Canis lupus familiaris: one gene and its partners. The protein of the gene in region 1 interacts with the protein of each later gene in a pairwise test. Links are inferred from orthologs where the notes say so. Each region holds a gene or a part of one and is shown in the gene's direction. Other genes may lie near its edges.

Region 1 (3,638 bases):
TTGGGCAAAGTGGGTGGAAGGGTCATCCCCTTCCCCTTTATCTGTGTGGTGCTGGGGGTCAGGGAGGGAGAAGGAGGAGCTTTTGGAGTCAAACCCGCGTGTCTGGGAGATGGGAGGGGAGTTCGTCCTTCCTGGAAGAGAGCGGATCAGCGGGCTGGGGAAAGTTCTCAGAGAGGGTGACTCTTGAGAGGGTCTGGAGAAAGTATTGGCGTTTCAGGTACGCTCCCCTGGGGCCCCGGGACCTCTGAGTCTGAAGGAGGTGCAGGAGCTGGAGCAGCTGACCCAGCAGCTAATGCACGACATGGAGCACCCTCAGAGGCAGAATGTGGCTGTCAATGGTGAGCTCACCGGCCACCTGTCGGGACCTCCACCTCACTCCCCGTCCGAGCCAGCCGACCGCCTGCCTGCGCGCTCCTTCCTCCCATTGACTTCTGTCTTCTCTGGCCTCCCAGAGTCCTGTGGCCGGTGTCATCAGCCCCTGGCACGCACACAGCCCGCGGTTCGAGCCCTGGGACAGCTGTTCCACATCACCTGCTTCACCTGCCACCAGTGTGGGCAGCAACTGCAAGGACAGCAGTTCTACAGCCTGGAGGGGGCGCCCTACTGTGAGGGCTGCTACACTGTGAGTCCGGGTGGGGGCTCAGCCCGGGGCTGGCCGTGGATGTGGGGCAGGCGGGCCTGGGGTGCCGGTTCCCGGCCGACGTCCTCCCGCCACCTCCTTAGGACACTCTGGAGAAGTGCAACACGTGTGGGCAGCCCATCACTGATCGCATGCTGAGGGCCACGGGCAAAGCCTACCACCCGCAGTGCTTCACGTGCGTGGTCTGCGCCTGCCCACTGGAGGGCACCTCCTTCATCGTGGACCAGGCCAACCGGCCCCACTGTGTACCTGACTACCACAAGTGAGGACCCACCTCCTGTCTTCTGGGCTCTTCTCTGGGTGCCAGCCGTCGTCGTCTGGGGGCTGGGCCAGGCTGCCCTCCTGATTCCACGGCAGCGCCAACCCCCTGGCCTTCCTTCCTGGCCCCACATGCTTGTCTGACGGCAGGAGACCAGTTCGCCTGGATTCAGCTGTCCAGTGGCCTCAGGCCTTGGTGGCAAGTCTTGCTACTGGCAGGTGCCCCCTCCCTGGGCCTTTGGCTCTCGGAGGCTTGTGGTCTTGTGTTCAGCCACGAGTGTTGGAATGACTTCATTTCACGCACAGGCTGGGTCCCGAAAGTCCTTTTGGAGATTGGCTTTTTGGAACTCTGGATTTCCCCTACAAGCAGTGGCTGCTTTCTCAGGCCAGCTGTAGAATCCCGTAATGTAGCTAAAGGGTGTACAGAAACTGCAGAGTCTGACTCCCACCTCTGCCAGTGTGTTGGAGGTATAGGTTTTCAGAATTCCAGCCTAGGCATCCAGAACTTCACATCCCTCCCTCTGTACACCCCAGCAGTGGGGCAGACGCCATGCAGCAGGGGGTCCTGGGCGGGGGTGGGGTGGGGCTGGAGAAGGGTGCCTCTGGCTGTGCTTTCTGCAGGAGCTGCAGTCAGAGGGTGAAGACCTGGTGGCAGAGGCTCCTGGGGGTACATGGGATTTTGGGGAGGGTGCTGGGGAAAGGCAGGAAATTCCCCTTGATAAAGGACGGATGAGGGGGCTGGTCTTAGGATTTCTCCATTGAGTGTCCTCTACCCAGGGATGTGAGGCAAATGGGCCAAGACACCTGCCCTGTTGCCATGCACATCCCCCTGCACTCTGGGAACCCCTTGCCCCCACCCTGACCCCTGCCTCGCTTTTGCCCCTCCAGGCAGTATGCCCCCAGGTGCTCCGTCTGCGAAGGGCCCATCATGCCTGAGCCCGGCCGCGAGGAGACCGTGCGAGTGGTCGCTCTGGACAAGAACTTCCACATGAAGTGCTACAAGTGCGAGGTTGGCCATCCCTCTGGCTCCCAGCGCTGGGAGGTGGTGGGACACCGCTCACTACCAGGTGGTGGCCGGTACCAGCCGGGAGGAGTTTGGAGCTGCAGTTTTGAGGGTGGAGGGGGTGATACCTGTGCCTGCTCCACCCAGATGCCCCCGTCACTGTGCAAGTTGGGGGGGAGGGCTTTCTGTGGGGTCCTTGGGTTGTGGATAAACCAAGAAAAAGAGTGACCAGTGGGAGGGAAGGGTGCTCTCCTTCGCTGTACTGGAGGGAGATGGAGATGTGCTTGGTGAGGTCAAAGAGGAAGAGAAGGGAGTAGAGGCAGGCGGGAGAGGTCCCATGTCTTTTTTTTGGGTGGGTGCCTTGGTAACAGCTCAACCCACTGTCCGCCTCGGGTGGGAGAGGCCTAGGGACAAGGAACATGGGCAGGAGAGGTGAGGCTAGGAGAGGAGGGTGGGAGTGGTGGGGACACAGGCAGTGATGCTGGACGTTGGCCGAGGCATGGAGCATCTGGTCTTCCTCACTTAAAGGTGGAGGTGTGGGGGGCACACAGGGGCCTTCCACCAGCGGGCTTTTCCTCCTTTCTCCCAGGACTGCGGGAAGCCACTGTCCATCGAGGCAGATGACAATGGCTGCTTCCCCCTGGACGGCCACGTGCTCTGCCGGAAGTGCCACACCGCCAGAGCCCAGACCTGAGTGGGGACGGGAGAGTCCACTCCCCACCCGCGGACCACCCACAGAGACCGCCCTGCCCCCCACCTGCCCTGCCCCCCCTTCAGTTATTTTCTGATGTCCAGCCTCTCCTTCCACGCCAGCCCCCACCCAGGTATCCCAGACACCTTGTCCCGGGCCCCAACGTGGCCTAGGACTGCAGAGTCCCAGCTCTGGGTTTCCAGCCCACCTCCATCCTGCAGGGACCACCCACCGTCCTCCAGGTGTACCCCACCTGAGGGGGCACCAGGTTGAGCGCTGCTGCTTTCACTGCTGCACCGATGCCCTCAGCTGGCCCCGGAGCAGCCACGTACTCTGCTTGCTGAGGGCCAGGAGACGCCCAGACTCTGGGAGGCTGGGCCAGGCCGGGCCGACCGGCCTGGACGTCCTCCCACCCCCACCCCCCATGCTGCCAGGTTGTGGCTACAGCTACAAATCAATAAAAAAAGACCTGTTTTCCAAAATCCTTAGGAGTCAACTCTTTTGTGCATATGGCCCTCATGGGTGGGGTAGAGGAAGTACAGGGAATACAAGAGCCAGGGGTAAAGGGGAAAACTCAGTTCCTGTTTATTTACAAAAATATATGTATGTATATGTATATATATTAAACCCTTCCCCAGGTCCCCCCCACGATTACATTTTCACTTCCACCCCTACCTCCCTTTTTAAAACAAAGGCTCCCGGGCCCAGAGGTGAGTTCCTCAGGGAAGGGTGGGCAGGAGCAGCACCAAAGGCCTACATAAGTAGGCTGAGGGGAGGGCCATGGGGAGTGACCATGGCCCCCGTCTTTGCCCCTTTGCCCCCACGACAGGGTGGGTGGGGGAGGGGCTCAGTCCTTGAATCCCTGAATACTGCAAAGAATGCGCTTCTGGTGTCCTGGCAGCGTGATCCCCATCTGGGCCAGGTCCCTGTGGGCAACGAAAGGGGATTGTTGAGTGTGGGCCTAACCCCCCCGCAGTTCTCCGTGCCCAGCACCCTCCCCTTCCCCTCCCCCCCCCCCAGGTCCTCACTCGGCCGTCAGCTCGAGC
Region 2 (2,914 bases), on another chromosome or scaffold:
ACTGGCTCCACTTTGAAATAAGAAGGTTCTCAACATATTTAGAGATGCATGTGCAATGATAAAACTTTTTTTTTTTCTTTTTAAGCAAAAGGGGAAAATGAACACAAAAATCCAGGTGCATAGATACCATTACCTCTGGCTGGAGAAGTGGCCGGAGTAGGTCGATGGAAGTGGTCCTGGTGACATTTTTCTTAAGCTGGCTGTTGGGTTCCTAAGTATCCTCATTATACTTTGTAACTTAACATGTATAACTTACACTGACATGTATCATTTCCCACATAGTAAGTATCGTACTTAAAAGGACAATGAAACTCCCGTACAAAACTAAAAATGATCAGCGAGGAAGCTAGATGGCGTCAAAGGCCCAGGCAAACAGACCGGTTTCGTGTATGTGACTTACAGACCGAAGGAGCCGAAGAGCGTTGAATGTATTCAGCTCGGTGCCGGGTGACCAGAAGTCCACCCGGTCGGGCTAATTCGAGTGAGCTCGGGGTGTGTACTTGAATCCAGGTGTCTCGGACCTGCTAGGTTCGATGAGTCACCTGGCACATCTGCTAATACAGCTTTCGGGGAGGCCTCTGTGAGGGCGAGGAAGCGGCCGGGCAGTCGGGGTTCCTGCAGGCTCGCCAGCGTCGGGCCCCCCTAGACCGGGCGGCGCCGGGAAGCTCCCAGCAGCTGGAGCACCGCGGCCACCGGGAGCACCGGGAGGACCGCGACCGCCGGGAGCATCGGGAGCATCGCGACGACCGGGAGGACTGCGAGCACCGGGAGCATCGCGGCCGCCGGGAGCATCGAAGCCACCGGGAGGACCGGGAGGACCGCGGCCGCCGGGAGCATCGCGGCCACCGGGAGCATCGCGGCCACCGGGAGGACCGCGACCGCCGGGAGCATCGCAGCCACCGCGAGCACGGGGAGGACCGGCGGCCGCCAGGAGCATCGAGGCCACCGGGAGGACCGGGAGGACCGCGGCCGCCGGGAGCATCAAGGCCACCGGGAGGACCGCGACCGCCGGGAGCATCGCGGCCACCGAGAGCACCGGGAGGACTGCGACCGCCGGGAGCACCGGAGGACCGTGACACCGGGAGCACCGCGACCGCCGGGAGCACCGAGAGCACCGGGAGCGCCGCGCAGCCCGCCGAACCAGCACAGCCGGCACCTGTCTCCGCCCGGCCTGACCTCAGCTTCCCGGAGCGGACTCACCTGGGAGACTCTAACAGGCATAAGTCTGAGTGGGACTGAACGACTGCTGCACTGGGGATACAGTCCTCGTGACTGAACACCACGAGGAGGTTTAAAACAACAACAAGAAAAAGGTCTAAAGGAAGAGCACCTGCCCGGGCCGCGGCCGCGCCAGCCGCCCCACCGCCAGCACCTCGGCCCTACTTCCGGCAACGCGGGAAGCAACGCGAGATAGTGACGTGGCTGGCGGGGGCGTGGCTCCGGCCTGACCAATGGGGGCGGAGGGCGTGGCCCGAGGCCGTCCTCTCATTGGGCCGGCCTGGGCGGAAGTCGCGCGGGCGCTCGGCGGCGCGGTCGAGGCGTCGGCTTTGGAGGCCCCGGGAGCCGCCATCATGGTGCGGAAGCTGAAGTTCCACGAGCAGAAGCTGCTGAAGCAGGTGGACTTCCTGAACTGGGAGGCCACCGACCACAACCTGCACGAGCTGCGCGTGCTGCGGCGGTACCGGCTGCAGCGGCGGGAGGACTACACGCGCTACAACCAGCTGAGCCGGGCGGTGCGCGAGCTGGCGCGGCGTCTGCGCGACCTCCCCGAGCGAGACCCGTTCCGCGTGCGCGCCTCGGCCGCGCTGCTGGACAAGCTGTACGCCCTCGGCCTGGTGCCCACGCGCGGCTCGCTCGCGCTCTGCGACTCGGTCACCGCCTCGGCCTTCTGCCGCCGCCGCCTGCCCACCGTGCTGCTGAAGCTGCGCATGGCGCAGCACCTCCAGGCCGCCGTGGCCTTCGTGGAGCAGGGCCACGTGCGCGTGGGCCCCGACGTGGTCACCGACCCCGCCTTCCTCGTCACGCGCAGCATGGAGGACTTCGTCACCTGGGTGGACTCGTCCCGGATCCGGCGCCACGTGCTGGAGTACAACGAGGAGCGCGACGACTTCGACCTGGAGGCCTAGCGCCGTCCCTCCCCGGGGCGCCGCCCGCCGACGCCTTCCCGTTGCTCGACCCCTTTTGATTCGAGTACTCGCTCTTGTTCGGGGTTAAGCGGCGCACGGACCCTGGAGAATTCGAGCTCGAGTTTGCACAGATGCGGGGCGAGGGCGGGCATGGGTTAGTGCGCTGTGCGCCCTCGCGCGCGGAGAGGAGCCGTCCCAATGCCAGTAAAGGGGCCAGCCGCTCGGAGCGTGCACCTTTGTGTCTGTCTGGCTTTCTCGTACGGGCTCACATCTGGGTTCACATCTGGGCTCCTGGGCTCGAGAACCCAGTAGGGAAGAGCGGAGTTAGCGACCTGCCCGTGAGCGAGGCCGGCCCCCGGGGTGGGGGGTGGGGGGTGGGGAGGGCGCCTGCGGAGGTTGCGGCAGATTCGTCAGGGCACTAATCCCTTGCTCGGAATGACTGTCTTGGCCGAGCTCTTCCCCACAGGACTTCCTGTGGATATTCCAGCCCCAGGAAGTAACCGTGTTAGAGGGCTGCAGTGTTTGCTCTTGGCTCGCCCAAGGAAATAATCACCCTGTAGCTTGGCCAGCTAGCGGTTAGAAGTGGCCCAGGGGGTTCCTGGAAGCATGTTCTTCGCGGTGGGGAACTGGAGAAGGGGGAGGTTACCTCTTTTTACCCAAGACTTAGACGAGGAGACTAAGTATAGAGTGCCAAGACTTATGCATTTGCTAGAGAAATACGGGAAGGGGACACTGGAGATGTTAATAGCAAATGCGTCTGCTGTGTGTCAGGCACAGTTGGAAGTGCG
Region 3 (3,831 bases), on another chromosome or scaffold:
AAACACTTTAATGATTTAATGTAGGTTTATAACATCTTCTGTGTCTATAAATGTAAGTGTCTGGTATTCTTTTTTTTTTTTTTAAGATTTTATTTATTTATTCATGAGCGACACAGAGAGAGAGAGAGAGAGAGGCAGAGACACAGGCAGAGGGAGAAGCAGGATCCATGCAGGGAGCCCGATGTGGGACTCGATCCCGGGTCTCCAGGATCATACCCTGGGCTGAAGGTGGTGCTAACCCACTGAGCCACCCGGGCTGCCCAGTGTCTGGTATTCTAATGGCTGCATAGTATTCTATTATGATGTACCACAATTTAAATAATCCCCCATTGTGGGCCATTGTGCCTATTTCCATTTCTGCAATCATAAACAGTATTTTGCTGAACATATGTTACTAAATTGCGTATGTGTTTTATAATACAGGTATTAAATATTTTCTTAATTGTAAAAGATTCAAGAATGTATAGAGAAAAATGTGTAAACCTTTTTACAACCTCCTTTGTACAAATTTACGTATATATGTGAGTGTTCGTTTATGCCAGTTTGGCTATGCCAGTTTATCTCATTAGGATAAATTTCCAGAAGTAGGTTTGATAGGTCAAAGAGTAATTACAGCTCTAAGCTTCCTGATTTGAATCATCAAATTGCCACGCAGAAAGGCAGTAACAATTTACCTTCCCACCAGTAGTGTAGGAGCCTGCCCATGAGGAATTAACCTCCCAGGAGGTCCTTTTTTTTTCTTTTTTTAAAGATTTTATTTATTCATAAGAGACTCAGAGAGGGAGGCAGAGACATAGGTAGAGGGAGAGGCAGGCTCCCAGCAGGGAGCCTTATGCGGGACTGATCCCAGGCCTCCCCGCCTCCAGATCATGACCTGAGCCAAATGCAGATGCTCAATCACTGAGCCACCCAGGTGCCCTCCCAAGAGTTTCCTTAACTAAAGAGTCTTGTTTCCCTTATTGCAGGTGTACCTGAAGGGGAGGCCTGGAGATAAGATAGTTCACGAGAAGAATGTCAACCAACTGAAGAGTGAGGTACAGTATATCCAGGAGGTGGGGACCCCTCCCTTGTGGGAACCTCTCAGTTTTTTGGCTCCCATCTTTTTTTTTTTTTTTTTGTATTTATTTATTTGAGAGAGAGAGTACCATTGGTGGGGATGGTGAGAGAAGCATATGGGAGAGGGGAGGAAGAAGTAGACTCCCCATTTGAACAGGGAGTGCAATGCAGGACTCTATTCCAGAACCCTGGGATCATGACCTGAGCAGAAGGCAGACACTTAACAGAATGAGCCACCAAGGCACCCTGGCCTTGTGGGATCTGGTTCTCTCCCATCAGCTTCCTTCATACCGAAACCACCACCATGCCGCCCCCTTGAGTCAAGTATCATTTGTGACCCTTCCATTAATCAACAAATATTTAACTACTATGTGCCTAGCACTGTACCCTAGCCATCCTCTCTAAACTGCCAACCTCTTTTCCTGACCCTCACCATGACTCCTATTGGCACCTGGGCACCTGTCATCATGTACCATATTACATGTTTGTTTCACTCATTTGCTTTTTGTGTCTCTGCAACAAGAATGTTGCCTCCAGCAGCACAGGGTTTTGATTTCCTTCGTGTAGGCTTTGTTTCCTGTTTGTGTAGGAGGGACTGTGCTGCAGCCCCATTTGCCTGGGGTCCCTCCTTCCCCCAGCCAGTGCTAAGGCCAGTACCTGGCTCACAGGAGTATGGGTCAGGGACAGGCCATAGTGGGTGAGTTGGTACGTGCTCTCTTTCCTTATCCCAAAGCTAAAGCTTCTTGCCCTCCTCTCCCAGGCCCAGAATTGCCTGCAGAAGCTCCAGGAGGACATAAGTAGCAAGCTTGACAGAGATCTAGGAGCTTCTCTCCATGGACAGGAACTACAGGTAATAGGAAATGGTCAATGGTTGGGTCCACAAGGAAGAGGCTGTGCTGGGCAGTCCCATTTGCTGGTCACACAGCAGATGCCGAATCTCACATCACTGCCAGGAAAGGAGAGAACACAGGCAATGTTGGCTTCTCAGAGCACTCACAACCTTACTAATGCTCTCCAGTTGATGGGCACCTGTGTTTACACGTATCAGCCTCTGTATAAGTATACCTGTTTTGAAAACAGTGTATAAAAATGGAATTTATGTAAATAAAATTCCATTAAGTTATTGGCAAAACCGGGATCCCTGGGTGGCGCAGCGGTTTGGCGCCTGCCTTTGGCCCAGGGCGCGATCCTGGAGACCCAGGATCGAATCCCACGTCAGGCTCCCGGTGCATGGAGCCTGCTTCTCCCTCTGCCTGTGTCTCTGCCTCTCTCTCTCTCTCTCTGTGACTATCATAAATAAATAAAATTAAAAAAAAAAAAAAAGTTATTGGCAAAACCTCTTCTATTTGAGGATTATGGGATCAATGTTTTTGCAATCCAGAGTCTTATAAAGCAAACAATTACCTATAAATGCAAACTTCTCATAAGTCAATCCTGCTTAATTGGGGTGACACCTGTGGTGTGAATTGAAATTTTGTCTGTTTGTGTGCATAGCTGTCTCTATCTGGCACCAGAAGCTCCTCAAGGTAGGGTTCACCTCCACTGCTGTCTCTGTATCCCCACACTTGGCACAGGACATAGGATGCAGAAGGTCATCAGTAAATGTCATATTGAACTTGTTGAAGGGTCTTTTTGAGATGGATGGATGATTCTGGGATACTGTATTTCAGTTTTTCTAAAATTGGAGGCTAGAAGTGCCCTTAGGAGAACAGAACCATCTCTTCTGTTTGACCCTCATCCTTCTTTAGATTCTGAGTTATATCTCCTTCCTCTGCATTTGATTTGGGGAGTTGGGGAGTCTCTCTCCAGGAGCCCCCACCCTCATCCTCCTGAGCGAAACGATGACTGTACAGCTGGTGGCAGCAAGGCTCCTCCTTGGTGTGAGCATGCCTGTGGCTTATGTGGTCATGCCCCCTACTTCATTCTGCTGTGATCCAAGGTAGGGCTTTCATGGCTATGCTCACATCTGGCTGATGGGAAATGCCTTCTCAAGTGACCAGACAACCTGATATGCTCTGAGACTGGCCCAGAAGTCCGGGGCCCTTGTTTGCACAGACCAGCAGTCATTTCATCACATCAAGCTATGGGCTATAAAGGATTGCTGCAAAGGCCACTTCACCTTTTGCTTTTTGCTTCATCAAACCCCAGGATCTCTGAGAGGGAAGGGAGACTCTTTGTTGGTGGCAGGCAGCCTGCATGATCTCCAGTCTGTAGAAAGGTTTTAGGCCGAGGTTCCCTTCATCCTCCCTACAAAGCCGGAGTATTCCCTTTTAAGGCCACACACATGCTTCTCCACTCCCTCCCCTCTCGATTTTCCAGAGCACTCAAAGTCTTTTTTCCCCTTCTGGCCTTTCTTCCTTCCTGCCATCCTTTATTCCTTTTCTTCTTTCTTCTTCTTTCTTCCTTATTCCTTCCTCTTTTCCTCCTTTACTTCCCCTTCCTCTATCTTCTTCTACTTCTTTCTTTCTCTTCCTTTTTCTTTTTTTTTTCTCTTTTCTTTTTTCTTTCTTCTTTTCTCTTTTCTTTTCTTTTCTTTTCTTTTCTTTTCTTTTCTTTTCTTTTCTTTTCTTTTCTTTTCTTTCTTTTCTTTCCTTATTTATTCATGAGAGACACACAGAGAAAGGCAGAGACACAGGCAGCGGGAAAACCAGGCTCCCTGCGGGGAGCCCAATGCAGGATTCAATACCAGGACCCCTGGATCGTGACCTGAGCCAAAGGCAGACGCTCAACCACTGAACCACCCAGGTGTCCCTCGCCTTTTTCTTTTATTCTATC
Region 4 (3,538 bases), on another chromosome or scaffold:
ATAGGCAGGTTTGGGATCGACAGTGCTGGAGATTACATTCTCCTGAGATGGCTGAGGTTTGGAATCACCTGGGGGTAGCCTCCAGAATGTTCTGAAACCCTGAATTCTAGAACCTGAGGAGGTCTCCCCTTAGAGGAGATCCTGCCTCGAAATCTTGGAAACTCAGATTCCTAGAATCCCAGCCATGTAAGATCGAGAATCCTCCACCCTTAGACTTTTGTGATTCCCAAATGTGAGAATCCTAACCCCCCCTCCCCCCACACACACACCCCAGTTGGAGAACAGCACTCTCTTTAACTTCTAAAACTCCAGTTTCCTTACCCTTTGAGGATTCCAGAACTCTACACCTTAGCATCCACCTTTCTAGAACTCTGGTAAGAATTACTGAGTGGCTGAGGGAGGGCTGAAGTCATCTGTTTTTGCCTGTCCCTCCTGCAGAAGGAAAGCCACACAAGTTGGGGAGAAACCCCCCAAGGATGAATCTGCCAATGTGAGTTAGGGGCTCTTCCTGCCAGGTGCACCTTAGGCTGTACCATTCGGGTAGGGATACTGGGGAGGGCCGGGGTGCGACAGGAACGGGGCGGGGTGACGCCAAGGCGAGGATCAGCCGGCGGTCTCATGGCAGTTTTATTTCCCACCAGCAGGAGGAGCCAGAGGCCAGAGTCCCAGTCCCAGCCCAGAGTGGTGAGTGGAGCCTGTCTAGCCTGTAGGGCCTCCGGATGCCCTGTTCTCAGGGGGAATGCCCCCTCCTGGGGGAGTCTGCAGGCCATGCTGCGGACTGTAGTCCCTTGAGACCCTTTGAACAGGAGCTGATGAGGCTGTGGGGAGACTGAGGCGGGGCCTTCCTTGTCCCTGATCTTCCTGATTTGTTGCCTGTCCTCCAGAAACTGTGCGGAGACCCTGGGAGAAGAACAGCACAACCTTGCCAAGGTGCGCCATCAGTGCTGGGTCCCTCCCCTCCCATAAATAGATGGATCTGTCACCTTTGTAGGAAGGGACACCAGGCGACCCTTGGAACGGGAAGCAGGGGAGGCCGACCCTTTCTCTAACCTCATTTCTGTCCCAAACCACACTGACTCTCCTAGGATGAAGTCCTCTTCATCCGTGACCACTTCCGAGGCCCACCCCTCCACGCCCAGCTCCAGTGACGAGTCAGACCTGGAGAGAGTGAAACAGGTAGCTTGGCGGGGGGTGGAGGGTGCGGGGTCGGGTGTTGGGAGGCCCCGGCTAGAAAGGGGCCACAGGTGGAAAGGAGATCTGGGGCCAAACTCCGCCATCCATCTGCCCTGTGATTCTGTGAAAAGGCCTCAGAAACCTCAGTTATTCAGCCTGAGAAATGGAGAGATTGAATCAGGTCAGGGATGACACACATACCACAGCCTCCTCTTCCAGCGCCAGTCACAGACCTTACTAATCTATCACTGCACTCATTCCTGATGAGCACCCAGAGTCCTTTCCAGCACACTAGCCCCAGACAGCACCAATCGGAATTGGCAGGAGACAGAAATATATTTGCCAGCCCTAATACTGGATGCTCTCCAGTCCTTTTCATCTGGCTCCAACGATCCAGAATTTTCCCTGAGAATTCTCCAGTCACTCTCTGGCCTTATCAATGATGTCACTGTGTGTGTGTGTCCCCGCGTGTGTGTTGGGGTGGGTAAGGGTCTTGAACCTTCTTCCTCTGGCCATTAAGAAAGGGGGGGGGGGGGGGCTTTCTCTTTAGAAAGGGGGGGAGTTATTTTAAAAGGGGACTTTCTCTTTAAAAAAGGGGAGCTTCATTTCTGCAAGTCCAGGGTGCCCTTCCTGATTGGTTGCACCCCATTATTTCCAGGAGCTTCTGGAAGAGGTGAGGAAGGAACTGCAGAAAGTAAAAGAAGAGATCATTGAAGGTGAGGTGGTTTTTGAATTTTAAACATTTGTTTTGGAGGCATCCCGTCTCCTGGAAAGGGCCCTGTTGTTGGAAGGGAAGGCGGAAGAGGCTCTGCCCATGACCCCTGCTCCTTGTTTCCTTCCAGCGTTTGTCCAGGAGCTGAGGAAGCGGGGTTCCCCCTGACCACAGGGCTCCAGAAGATCCTGTATCTCCTTTCTGCACACCCCGCCTGTCACCCTGCTTTCCCTGCCTCAACTCGACTTGGAATTGGCTAAAGACCACACAGGAATGCATCTCCCCCACTCCCTGTCCTACTTGGAAAATACCAAGGGGGTGTGGCTCCGTGGCCCCAGGGCCACACCCATACTGGCTGCTGATTGGCTGGGGAGGCCCCCACCCTTTGCTCCCTTTGGTCCTTCCCCTTCGCCATCCCCTTGGGGCTGGTTCCTCTGTTGGGGATTGGGGACCAAGTGACCCCACAGTAAGGGGGAAGGAAGGAGGGAATCTCACATTCCCTTGTTCTAGATTCACTTTAACGCTTAATGCCTTCGAATTTTTGTTTTTTTAAGGAAAAAAAAAAATATATATATATTTAGGTTTTGGGGGGAAGGGAAATTTTGTTTCTCTTTCGTTTTGATAAAACTGGGGTGTGGGGAGTTTTTAAATGCTATGCCCAGGGCTTGTCCCCTTTGGAGCAGCTATTTAAGGGGGAGGATGTCCCACCAGGCTGGGGGCACCTCCCCCACCCCCACCCCCACCCCAGGGAGCTCCCTTCCCTTTGGCTCCTTCCCCTTTTCTATGAGGAATTAAGATGCTATAACTTTTTGGAACCTCAGTTTTTTGGTTTTTTATTTGGGTAGGTTTTGGGGTCCCCCTGGGGAAATAAGATGAGGGAGAAAGGAAAGGGGGAGGAAACCTCCCCTCTCCCACCTTCACCTTTAGCTTCTTGAAAATGGGCCCCTACCGAATAAATCTGCCAGTTTTTTATAAATATGAAGATTTCTGGACTGATTCGGAGGGCTGCTCTGGTGAGGGTGGAGGTGTGTGTGTGCCCCTCCCGGCAGTGATCTGCCTTCCCCTCCTCTTTCTTCTTCCATCCTGTATCTGCTCCAGTTCCCACAGGCTCCGACAACCAATCTGCCACCCTGGAGAAAGCTAAGGACAGTCCCTCACAGTGTGGCATCAGGCAAGTCCTGTTGCTACTCCTGGGCCTCAGTTTCCCCATCTGGGAAATGGCTTGTGGGATGACTCTGACCCTTCCAGTGGGAATCCTCCCAGCTTCTCTGCTAATTCCAATGATCCTGTACCCATTTTGCAGATGTACGCCATGGTGCTCAGACACATTCTTAAAGATGACTTATTTACCCCAGAGCTCCTTTAATTATAAAATATTTACAGTCTTAAAAAAAAATAGAATTCAGAAATCACAGAGCTCATATACACCCCCTTCAGGGGTTCATTGGTTGGGTAGGGGGTTGGGGGGTAGATAACCCTGCCTGGTTGGAATATTCCATTTGGATGTGGGGCGACTTCAGGGCTGAGGGCCAGATGGTCCCACTTGAGGAAGCCTTTGTATGAAGGAGGGTGAGGGTGGACTGGGTGACCAGTCGAAGGATAAGCAGGAAGAAGGAATCCCAGAGTACTCAAGAGCAGGTTCGGGTGGGAGAT
Region 5 (4,459 bases), on another chromosome or scaffold:
GTTTCCAAGTTCCGCAGCCTTGGGGGACTTCTTTTTGGCATTTTGCTAGTAAGCAGAATATGGGATGCCATTAAGTTAGCCTGAATCATTTCATGAAAAGACCGACAACTGTTTTAGAATACAACAGTTTTTCAGAGTAGGATAATATTTCCCTAAGTAATAATTCACAGAAGAATGTTAATTTTCTGGAGCATTGGATATCATTAAAAAATGGTAGGAAGGTAAATAGGTAGATTAGATCAGACTAAGTGAATAGGATTTCATGTTTCAGAAATGTTGGATTAAGAAAACCTAAATAGTTTTCTCGGTTGTGAGTCTTCTTGGAGCTTCTGATTTGTCATTAGGTGGTGTGGATCTCTAAGTGATAGGAGTTGAGATGAACATACAGGCTTTTCCAAATACATTTTGCTTAAGAAACCCCCTTTCCTCTCTAGAGTATTCTGTGGAACTGTAGCCTCATGGAAAACAATTTGAGGAATAATCTATAAATAAGATTGTTTAGAATATTTTTTGGTCAGATTTTTAGTTTAGGCAAGGCTGAAACAATTAGGAAGAAAATTTAAAACTAGATATGATATCAAGAGAAAGTTGCATTATTCTTGGCTACTTAGAATAATGTATTTGGAATAAAGTTGTATTTTATAATTAGTTTCATTGTTTACCATAGGGTATTTTTTTATGTCTCACACTGATATTATGATTTTGTGAAAATTAATTTACCCTAGGTTGGAGTAACCAAACTGGTATATTGTGAATTTTATAGAGCCTTATTATTGCCTAAATTGACAATTAAGGATTTTTTTGAGAAATGTATTTTTAATTATATAACTGATGACACATACTACATTATCAGTATAGTTATAATTTATTTTTCCAAGCATGTAGAGGAATATATGAAGAGTAAATATTTTATAGTATAAAACCCAGCAAACTTGTGTAAAAATTGACACAATGGGCAGAACTGGAAGAGCATGATTATTATTATTTTTTGAAACAATGATGTTTCTAGAATTCTTAAATGATATATCAACTTATGTTAACTGCAACTTCTTGTGTTTAATGATATTTACAATTAAAATAATACAATAGCAATATAAGGATTAATGGTCATAATTAACTCAGAATTGATTCTTTAAAGTGGTTCAAATGACTTTTCATAGTAAATTACTAGACTTTAATCAGCTAATTTAAAGTTAGTACTTTTTAGAATGTGGGAAGTATGTGTTTTTCTCATAAAAAATTTAACTTAGGTTAACGAAATGAGCTTGAATGATCTGGATTCACTATATAAAATCAGAGATATGTCTGATGTTCCAGCACAAACTTTATTTAGACGGAGTTGAGAAATCTTTGAGATAACAGGCTTTGGACTATGCTATCTTGAGTGTTGTAGCGGAGTCATTTTCCCACCATCTTTAAGTCTCCTTTAAACTGTGTTATGAATGAATTAAATTAGTGAAATATAAATACATGGTCTCTTTTGGATTTCTTACCCAGTTTAGAGAATGTTGACTTTAAAAGGTCACAAAATCGAATTTTGCCTGAGAGTGGTATTTCCACTTGGAGGCTAGCCCTGGCTGACCTCTGCAATCCTGTCCATCCACTCACACATAGTTGTGATAAGAGGGTGAAGTGTGAGCTAAATAGAGATGAGGCCTGGGCAAGGTCATTTCTGCCAGAACACCAGAGGCTCCAAGATCTCAAGGGTGCTATAGTACAGAGAAAGGTACTGTACTCGTGAAATTAAAAAAAAAAAAAAGAAAGAAAAGAAAAGAAAAGAAAAAAAGAAAAAAACCCTATCCATAAAGAGTAAAAATGAGGGTCCCTGTGTTTGAGGATGTAAAAGATGAAACTGAAGAGGGAAAAACAGAGGAAGAAGAAGATGAAGAAGACATGGTAAGTAGGAATGGGCCAGCTGAAGAAGGGTATTTGTTCCTCTAAGTTGATCACTGGAAAAAATGTTTCCTTTCCTTTCTTTTCTGGACAGATATTCTTTAAGCCTGTTATTGAAGACCTAAGGATGGAATTGGCCAGAAAATGCACCAGACTCATTAGTGATGTAAGTGGGCTTAAGTAATTTTTGTCTGATTTGTGCACTGTGTATGTGGCACTATCATGTCATAGAATCATCTAGTTGGGGAGAAAACCCTGCAGTCATCTGTTAAAACACAATTATTTTCCAGATCATGGAACTAAGTCCAGACACTTTCGTGGATTTCCTCAAGGTCACCAATACAGAGAATTTCTGTAGGAAGAGGTCTCCAAATTCTTAATCCAGAGTGCTATCCCTTATGAATTTCACTCTAGTGTAAAATCGTAAAACATTGAAATTTCAGAGTGCATTCCATGTGTGAACTGCAAAGCCTTTTAAAATTTGTTTGGTGGTGTAATTTGTTACGGGAGGATCTCTGTCTAAACCAATGGTTTTTAAAAAAAAAAAACATTTTGGGTTTTTTTTTGAGGACTGTGATGAATGCAGTAGTTTTTGAAACCAGGAAAAAAAATATGTGTGTGTGTGTGTGTATATATATATATATATATATATATATATATGTAAATATGTGTACATACATATATATACACACACACACATACATAACATGTATTGACAATTTTGGATTCATTAGTTACTGAACTACATAGTATGAACCCTGAACTAGATGATGATATTATTAGCAAAAAGGAGCATTTTTCTCCTGGTTTTTTCATTAACTGGGATCAATTTATATCATATCTCCAGGGAATCCTAGAATTGTGGAATTATGTGTGTGTTTGTATTTATATATATATGTATGTGTATATATATATGTATGTATATATATATATATATATTAGTAATTATGTACTGATAAACCAGTAAATAGGTAAACTAGAATTCTAGAAAGTTTTAGATACTCCTCATTAAAACAATTGTGAGAGAATTGCTGGTGCAGAGGAGAGATGACTCCTGAAAAGTGAATCAGGCCTGGGTCTGGAAAGAAGGGAACACAACACTGGCCATTGATTTAACAGTAAGGTTGGGGCAAGTTATATAACAGGACTGGCCTTGGTTCCTCTATTACAGTATCATTAAGTAATGGTAATGTATCCGAAAGGTTTGGTAAGTATCTTGCCTGGGTCACACGGTTAAGCAGTAGGGAGGATTGAAACAAAGCTCTCTCTCAGCCTTAGCCATTCTGCTGTGTTTGCTCTTATTGTAGATTTCCCTGCAAAGTTTATCTTAGCCTTACTATTATCGATTACACTAATATTGGTAATAGGAATGCTACCATTTAAAACCTGAAGTTTCATAACTCCAGAGATAGTACCTCTTCTAGTGCTATTATGTTTTTTATTAAAGGGTAATTGTGGATGAGCTAAATTATATAAACCGTTGGAACCAAAGTGGCAACTTCAGTGAGTAGATGATTTTGTTGGAGTTGTTTTGGATAAGGTCATTTTGCAGTGACTGTAAAACCAACCTTATGGTGAGAGGCGTGGCCTTTACCATTTGCAAAAGCCAAAGCCGTGTTATTTCTCTTCCATGTAGGAAAAATCAAATATGTGGGAGTCATTTCTGTTTTTTATAGATTTCTGCTGCATGGAATGTCTGTACTACTTAAATATTTAGATCGCAGACTGTGGCCTGATTTATATCTGTGTACATGTTCACTATTTGTTTCAAAATAGAATTCCATACTTTTTAAGATACTGGTTTAATTTTTGAAATTTGTATATTTACCAGTGAAGAGGCTGAACAAGTAATTATTTTGTTTCTAAAACAAAACTGAAAAGAGGAGTTTGTACAGTCATTTTATTTTAATTTTTATTTATTTTAATTTTTATTTATTTATGATAGTCACACAGAGAAAGAGAGAGAGGCAGAGACATAGGCAGAGGGAGAAGCAGGCTCCATGCACCAGGAGCCCGACGTGGGATTCGATCCCGGGTCTCCAGGATCGCGCCCTGGGCCAAAGGCAGGCGCTAAACCGCTACACCACCCAGGGTTCCCTGTACAGTCATTTTAAAAACAAATTTTAATTTACACTTTCTGGAAGGATTTTATGTAGTGGACCAAATGGAAGTTTTAGTTTTTAGAAGTTTGGTTGAAAAGGAAGGTATTTATTAAGTACTAACTGCTTTATTCACTGTCAGTGTCATCAGTTTTTTTATATGGAGCCCATGAATTTAACGGTTGAAGTTCTCATGGCAGTTATGTTGTCTGCATTGCCAGATGGTTGTCTAAAATGTGTATTGGAGTTGCATTGGTCACGGAGCTAAAACAGATACGAAAATGGACAAGTGGTCGCACAGAGTTAGTTTGGGAGTTCCAGTTGAGGTCCTCTCCTGCTACTGACAGTGCCCCTTGGTCAGTGCCCACATTTCATTTAGCCCAGGGGCCCTTGCCCTGGTCTCAGACTTAAAGACAAACCATCAAGTCTGTTTGTTTTGTTTTCCAATCCCTTGTATTCCAGAGGAG
Region 6 (3,831 bases), on another chromosome or scaffold:
CACCCCCTCCCACACTTCCGGCCTGGCTTTTGCTCCAGGGCAGGTGTGACCCTCATCTGGCCCATGGATGAGCACACTTGCTCCCTTTGTCATGACAGATGCCGGAAGCACAGGCTGCCCCCACACAGGACAAGCAGAGTTGAGGCACTGGCTTCGGGCACCAAAGTCTTAAATAAAGACACACATGCTGGACTCATATCACTCACCTCACTCACCTCACCCTCATCCTGGGCCTCTCACCCTTGTCTTTTTTTTTTTTTTAAAGATTTTTTTAATTTTTATTTATTTATGATAGTCACAGAGAGAGAGAGAGAGAGAGGCAGAGACACAGGCAGAGGGAGAAGCAGGCTCCATGCACCGGGAGCCTGACGTGGGATTCGATCCCGGGTCTCCAGGATCGCGCCCTGGGCCAAAGGCAGGCGCTAAACCACTGCGCCACCCAGGGATCCCTCACCCTTGTCTTTATTGAAAATAGTGAGGTTTTGTTCATCGTGATTTTTTTGCATTAATTGTGATTTTTTTTAATGTTGCATCACATTGTTATTTACCTTAATGATTGAGAATTTTGGTGCTCTCTCAACTGCTGTGGCCAAGGCAGCTGCTTCTCTTCCTTCTCCCTGGTCCCCACCCGAGAAGACGCCATCTCTAGCACAGCCACCCCCTGTGCTTGGCCATCAGATTCCCACCCTTAGCTTTCCCTGAGCTGGAGTTGGCCCCTGTGCACTAGGACACTATGCTCAGGTGGCATGATTCGTCCCTGAAGGTCCTGCTGGGGCACTCTCCATTCTGCTTGAGGGGGATGAAGTACACCCCACCCTTCCCCAGTGAGGAGGAGTTGGTAGGAAACCCACATTTCAGCTCTCTCCAAAGCAACCCCCTCTCCAGAGTCCAGCTCTTTCTTTGCAGAACCCTGTTTCCTACTTTCTTTCCCCTCACTTTGGAACACGGCACCTACTTTTCACATCCTGATATATGTATTTTCTAATTGCTGTACAAAAAAAAAAAAAAAAAGCACATCATCTGTCCAGAACCATGTCTTATGCTCCTTACTGGGTGTCTATATGTCATATGGCCCAGTGTCCTGGTGGTTATTCTGTGAATATTTGCAGGATGATGACACAACCTACAAGCACCAGGAAAATTTCTGCTGAGAAAAACAAACAAAAAAGATGGAAGCATATTAAGTCACAGTTTCATGTATTCCTTTTTAAGTCCATGCTAAGGCTAACCTACAGATGCAAATGAGCCACCCTATAGTTTGTCCCCAGCTTCCGTCAAGAGGGCATCTTCTTTTTTTTTTTTTTAAGATTTTATTTATTTATTTATTTATGAGAGACAGAGAGAGAAAGAGGCAGAGGGAGAAGCAGGCTCCCCACAGGGAGCCCGATGTGGGACTCGGTCCCAGGACCCCAGGATCACAACCTGAGCCGAAGGCAGATGCTCAACCACTGAGCCACCCAGGCATCCCAAGAAGGTATCTTTTTAAAGCACAAAGTCTGTTGTTGAAAACAACCACATAAACTTCCACCATGTGAGCATCATGACCGAGAGCCCCACAAATCTTTGGTGTTCTGTATTCTCTTTTGGAAAGAACGCTTGCAGTGGGTAGTTTGTGATGTGTATCCATCAGGAAGGAAAACTCCAAGTTATCCTTTTCCATCTTTCCCCAGGAGCCAGAGAAGCAGCAGTTATATGATATACCCGCCAGCCCCAAAAGGGCAGCACTTGGCTCCATGACCAGCCCACCAGGTGTAAGTATGATGAGGCCCAGAGATTCGATACTAGGAAAATGTGAGCATCCTCCAGGATGTTTTATTAACATGGCCAAAACTGGGAATGCAAATTCCTCATAACAGAGCTTATTTCCTTTGAACCCCCTGCTGGCCGTGGTGTTCAGGAACAGGGCGAGCAATGTGCTTTGGGCAAGTCCTCTTACCTTCTCCGTGCCTCAGTTTCTTATAACAAACTAATTGTGAGGACTGAGATCATTCCTGCAGAGGACCTAGTACAGATACAGTGCTTGGCACAGAGCAAAAGCTCAGTAGATCTTAGGTAAATGCTTCTTCTTCCTCGCCTTCCACACACCCCAGAGATGGGTTGTGTTAAAATGGGTTTTTATCTGTTTATAGAGGACATGTCTTAATTTGAAAATCTGGAATCCATGTTCATTATCGAATGCATTTAAAAATACATATACCTATGCCCAAGGTCATTGGGGAAGGCCTTTAGAAAGTGATGGCATCTCTGCAGCATCGTGAGGGATGCATAGAGGTTTGTTAGAGGGAAAGGAAGGGGTCGGGAGGGCAGGTAGAACAGAAGGACTGGTTTGGGCAAAATGAACTATAATGGGCTAAGTGAGCATTTGGAGTTCAGGGGATGGTGAACAGCCAGGGTGACTGAGCCCACAGGGAGGCTGGTGGCAGGTGTGGTGGGGAGGCTTAAAGGCGGATACAACCAGATTATGAAGGGCCTTGAGCGATGATGGCAATGGGGAGCTGCTGAAGACACTTGAGTGGGGGAGTGACCATCAGATTTGTAAGAAGCACGCAACCCAGCACTTAGTAGGTCCTCAGCGTAATGCACATTTGTCAGACGAGTCGCTCGAACCCTCTTTTTATTGCTGCTGACCTGGGCATCTTTGTGGGGCTCTTCGCAGAGGCAGAGCGCTGCCGCGATGTCGGCGATCGCCACGAGGCAAGGCAGCTACAGCACGTTGCCGAGCCCCCAGAAGTCGGAATGGATCTATGACACGCCAGTGTCTCCAGAAAAAGCTGATGGCAGAAATGCATCTCTAGGCAGCTTTGTGGAAGAATCAGAGCCCCACACTCCCCCCAGGTATATGTCCAGCTTCCAGAATCCTCCAAATAGCAGAGCAAGGTCCCTCAATCCACACCTGCATAAAAACGTGCCCATGCAGAAAAAACTCAGCCTTCCAGAAATTCCTTGCTACAAATTTCTGGCTCCCAGGGACACGATCCCCTTGGACGAGAGTGCAGGCTACAAGGTCCCTTCGAGCTTTCTGATTCCCCGGGTGGAACAGCAGAACACCAAGCCAAACATTTATGACACCCCGAAAGTGGTGGCCGGGGGCCGACGGGCCGCGACCGAGCTGGGGACAGTGAACGGGCCTTCGGAGAACACGGACTGCAAATCCGCGTGGCCCTCAGGACAGGCACCATCGCTGTCCCCGGACCCCGACAGGCTGTCCGTTTCCAGCTGTGACAGCAGAGCCAGCGTTGTGTCCTCGTGCTCATCCACGTCCACGGACTCCTCGTCCAGCTCCTGCTCGGAGGACTCAGGCAAGGAGCTCTCGTTGGACCCAGACCTGGCCAGGGAGACGGTAGCGGCACTTCAGCAGCAGGTGGCCGGCTCGGTCGCCGGCCTGATGCTCTTTGTCAGCAGGAAGTGGAGGTTCCGAGACTACCTGGAGGCCAACCTCGGCGCCATCCGCACGGCTGCCCACCGCGTGGAGGAGTCTCTGAGAGCATTCCTGGAGTTCGCCCGCGGCGTCCAGGGGAGCGCCTGTAACCTCAGCGACACCACCCTGCAGGCCAGGATCCGGGACCAGCTACAGACCATCTCCAACTCCTACCAGATCCTGCTCGGGACAAAGGAAAGCCTGGACAGCTGCAACTGGTCTCTGGAAGTCCTTGTGACCGACAAGGTCCAAAACAACCCGGATGACCTCGAGCGCTTTGTCATGGTGGCACGGATGGTTCCAGAAGACATCAAGAGGTTTGCCTCCATCGTCATTGCCAATGGGAAGCTCCTTTTCAAGCAGAACTGCGAGAAGGAAGATACCTTGCCCATGACCCCCCATGCACCATTGAA

The links.
Region 2: the proteins of ZYX (region 1) and IMP3 interact in binary tests that used the Homo sapiens proteins (3 or more experiments, as listed by UniProt). The link is inferred for Canis lupus familiaris from reciprocal best matches to the Homo sapiens genes ZYX and IMP3.
Region 3: the proteins of ZYX (region 1) and TUFT1 interact in binary tests that used the Homo sapiens proteins (3 or more experiments, as listed by UniProt). The link is inferred for Canis lupus familiaris from reciprocal best matches to the Homo sapiens genes ZYX and TUFT1.
Region 4: the proteins of ZYX (region 1) and VASP interact in binary tests that used the Homo sapiens proteins (3 or more experiments, as listed by UniProt). The link is inferred for Canis lupus familiaris from reciprocal best matches to the Homo sapiens genes ZYX and VASP.
Region 5: the proteins of ZYX (region 1) and NEBL interact in a two-hybrid assay, tested with the Homo sapiens proteins (2 studies listed by BioGRID and IntAct). The link is inferred for Canis lupus familiaris from reciprocal best matches to the Homo sapiens genes ZYX and NEBL.
Region 6: the proteins of ZYX (region 1) and CASS4 interact in binary tests that used the Homo sapiens proteins (3 or more experiments, as listed by UniProt). The link is inferred for Canis lupus familiaris from reciprocal best matches to the Homo sapiens genes ZYX and CASS4.

The regions. Positions count from the first base shown.
Region 1 is NC_049237.1:6,031,531-6,035,168, reverse strand, and holds the end of ZYX (zyxin), read left to right. Parts: intron 1-217; coding exon 218-338; intron 339-452; coding exon 453-622; intron 623-723; coding exon 724-902; intron 903-1,786; coding exon 1,787-1,907; intron 1,908-2,490; coding exon 2,491-2,595; 3' UTR 2,596-3,074; downstream 3,075-3,638. UniProt on the Homo sapiens protein: Adhesion plaque protein. Binds alpha-actinin and the CRP protein. Important for targeting TES and ENA/VASP family members to focal adhesions and for the formation of actin-rich structures.
Region 2 is NC_049251.1:38,869,821-38,872,734, reverse strand, and holds IMP3 (U3 small nucleolar ribonucleoprotein protein IMP3), read left to right. Parts: upstream 1-1,490; 5' UTR 1,491-1,571; coding exon 1,572-2,126; 3' UTR 2,127-2,359; downstream 2,360-2,914. UniProt on the Homo sapiens protein: Component of the 60-80S U3 small nucleolar ribonucleoprotein (U3 snoRNP). Required for the early cleavages during pre-18S ribosomal RNA processing. Part of the small subunit (SSU) processome, first precursor of the small eukaryotic ribosomal subunit.
Region 3 is NC_049238.1:61,269,789-61,273,619, forward strand, and holds part of TUFT1 (tuftelin), read left to right. Parts: intron 1-965; coding exon 966-1,034; intron 1,035-1,816; coding exon 1,817-1,906; intron 1,907-3,831. UniProt on the Homo sapiens protein: Involved in the structural organization of the epidermis. Involved in the mineralization and structural organization of enamel.
Region 4 is NC_049222.1:110,761,365-110,764,902, reverse strand, and holds the end of VASP (vasodilator-stimulated phosphoprotein), read left to right. Parts: intron 1-438; coding exon 439-490; intron 491-644; coding exon 645-684; intron 685-884; coding exon 885-930; intron 931-1,085; coding exon 1,086-1,176; intron 1,177-1,831; coding exon 1,832-1,889; intron 1,890-2,015; coding exon 2,016-2,053; 3' UTR 2,054-2,863; downstream 2,864-3,538. UniProt on the Homo sapiens protein: Ena/VASP proteins are actin-associated proteins involved in a range of processes dependent on cytoskeleton remodeling and cell polarity such as axon guidance, lamellipodial and filopodial dynamics, platelet activation and cell migration.
Region 5 is NC_049223.1:9,942,616-9,947,074, forward strand, and holds the start of NEBL (nebulette), read left to right. Parts: upstream 1-1,430; 5' UTR 1,431-1,815; coding exon 1,816-1,896; intron 1,897-1,987; coding exon 1,988-2,059; intron 2,060-4,459. UniProt on the Homo sapiens protein: Binds to actin and plays an important role in the assembly of the Z-disk. May functionally link sarcomeric actin to the desmin intermediate filaments in the heart muscle sarcomeres.
Region 6 is NC_049245.1:42,396,887-42,400,717, forward strand, and holds part of CASS4 (cas scaffolding protein family member 4), read left to right. Parts: intron 1-1,670; coding exon 1,671-1,751; intron 1,752-2,656; coding exon 2,657-3,831. UniProt on the Homo sapiens protein: Docking protein that plays a role in tyrosine kinase-based signaling related to cell adhesion and cell spreading. Regulates PTK2/FAK1 activity, focal adhesion integrity, and cell spreading.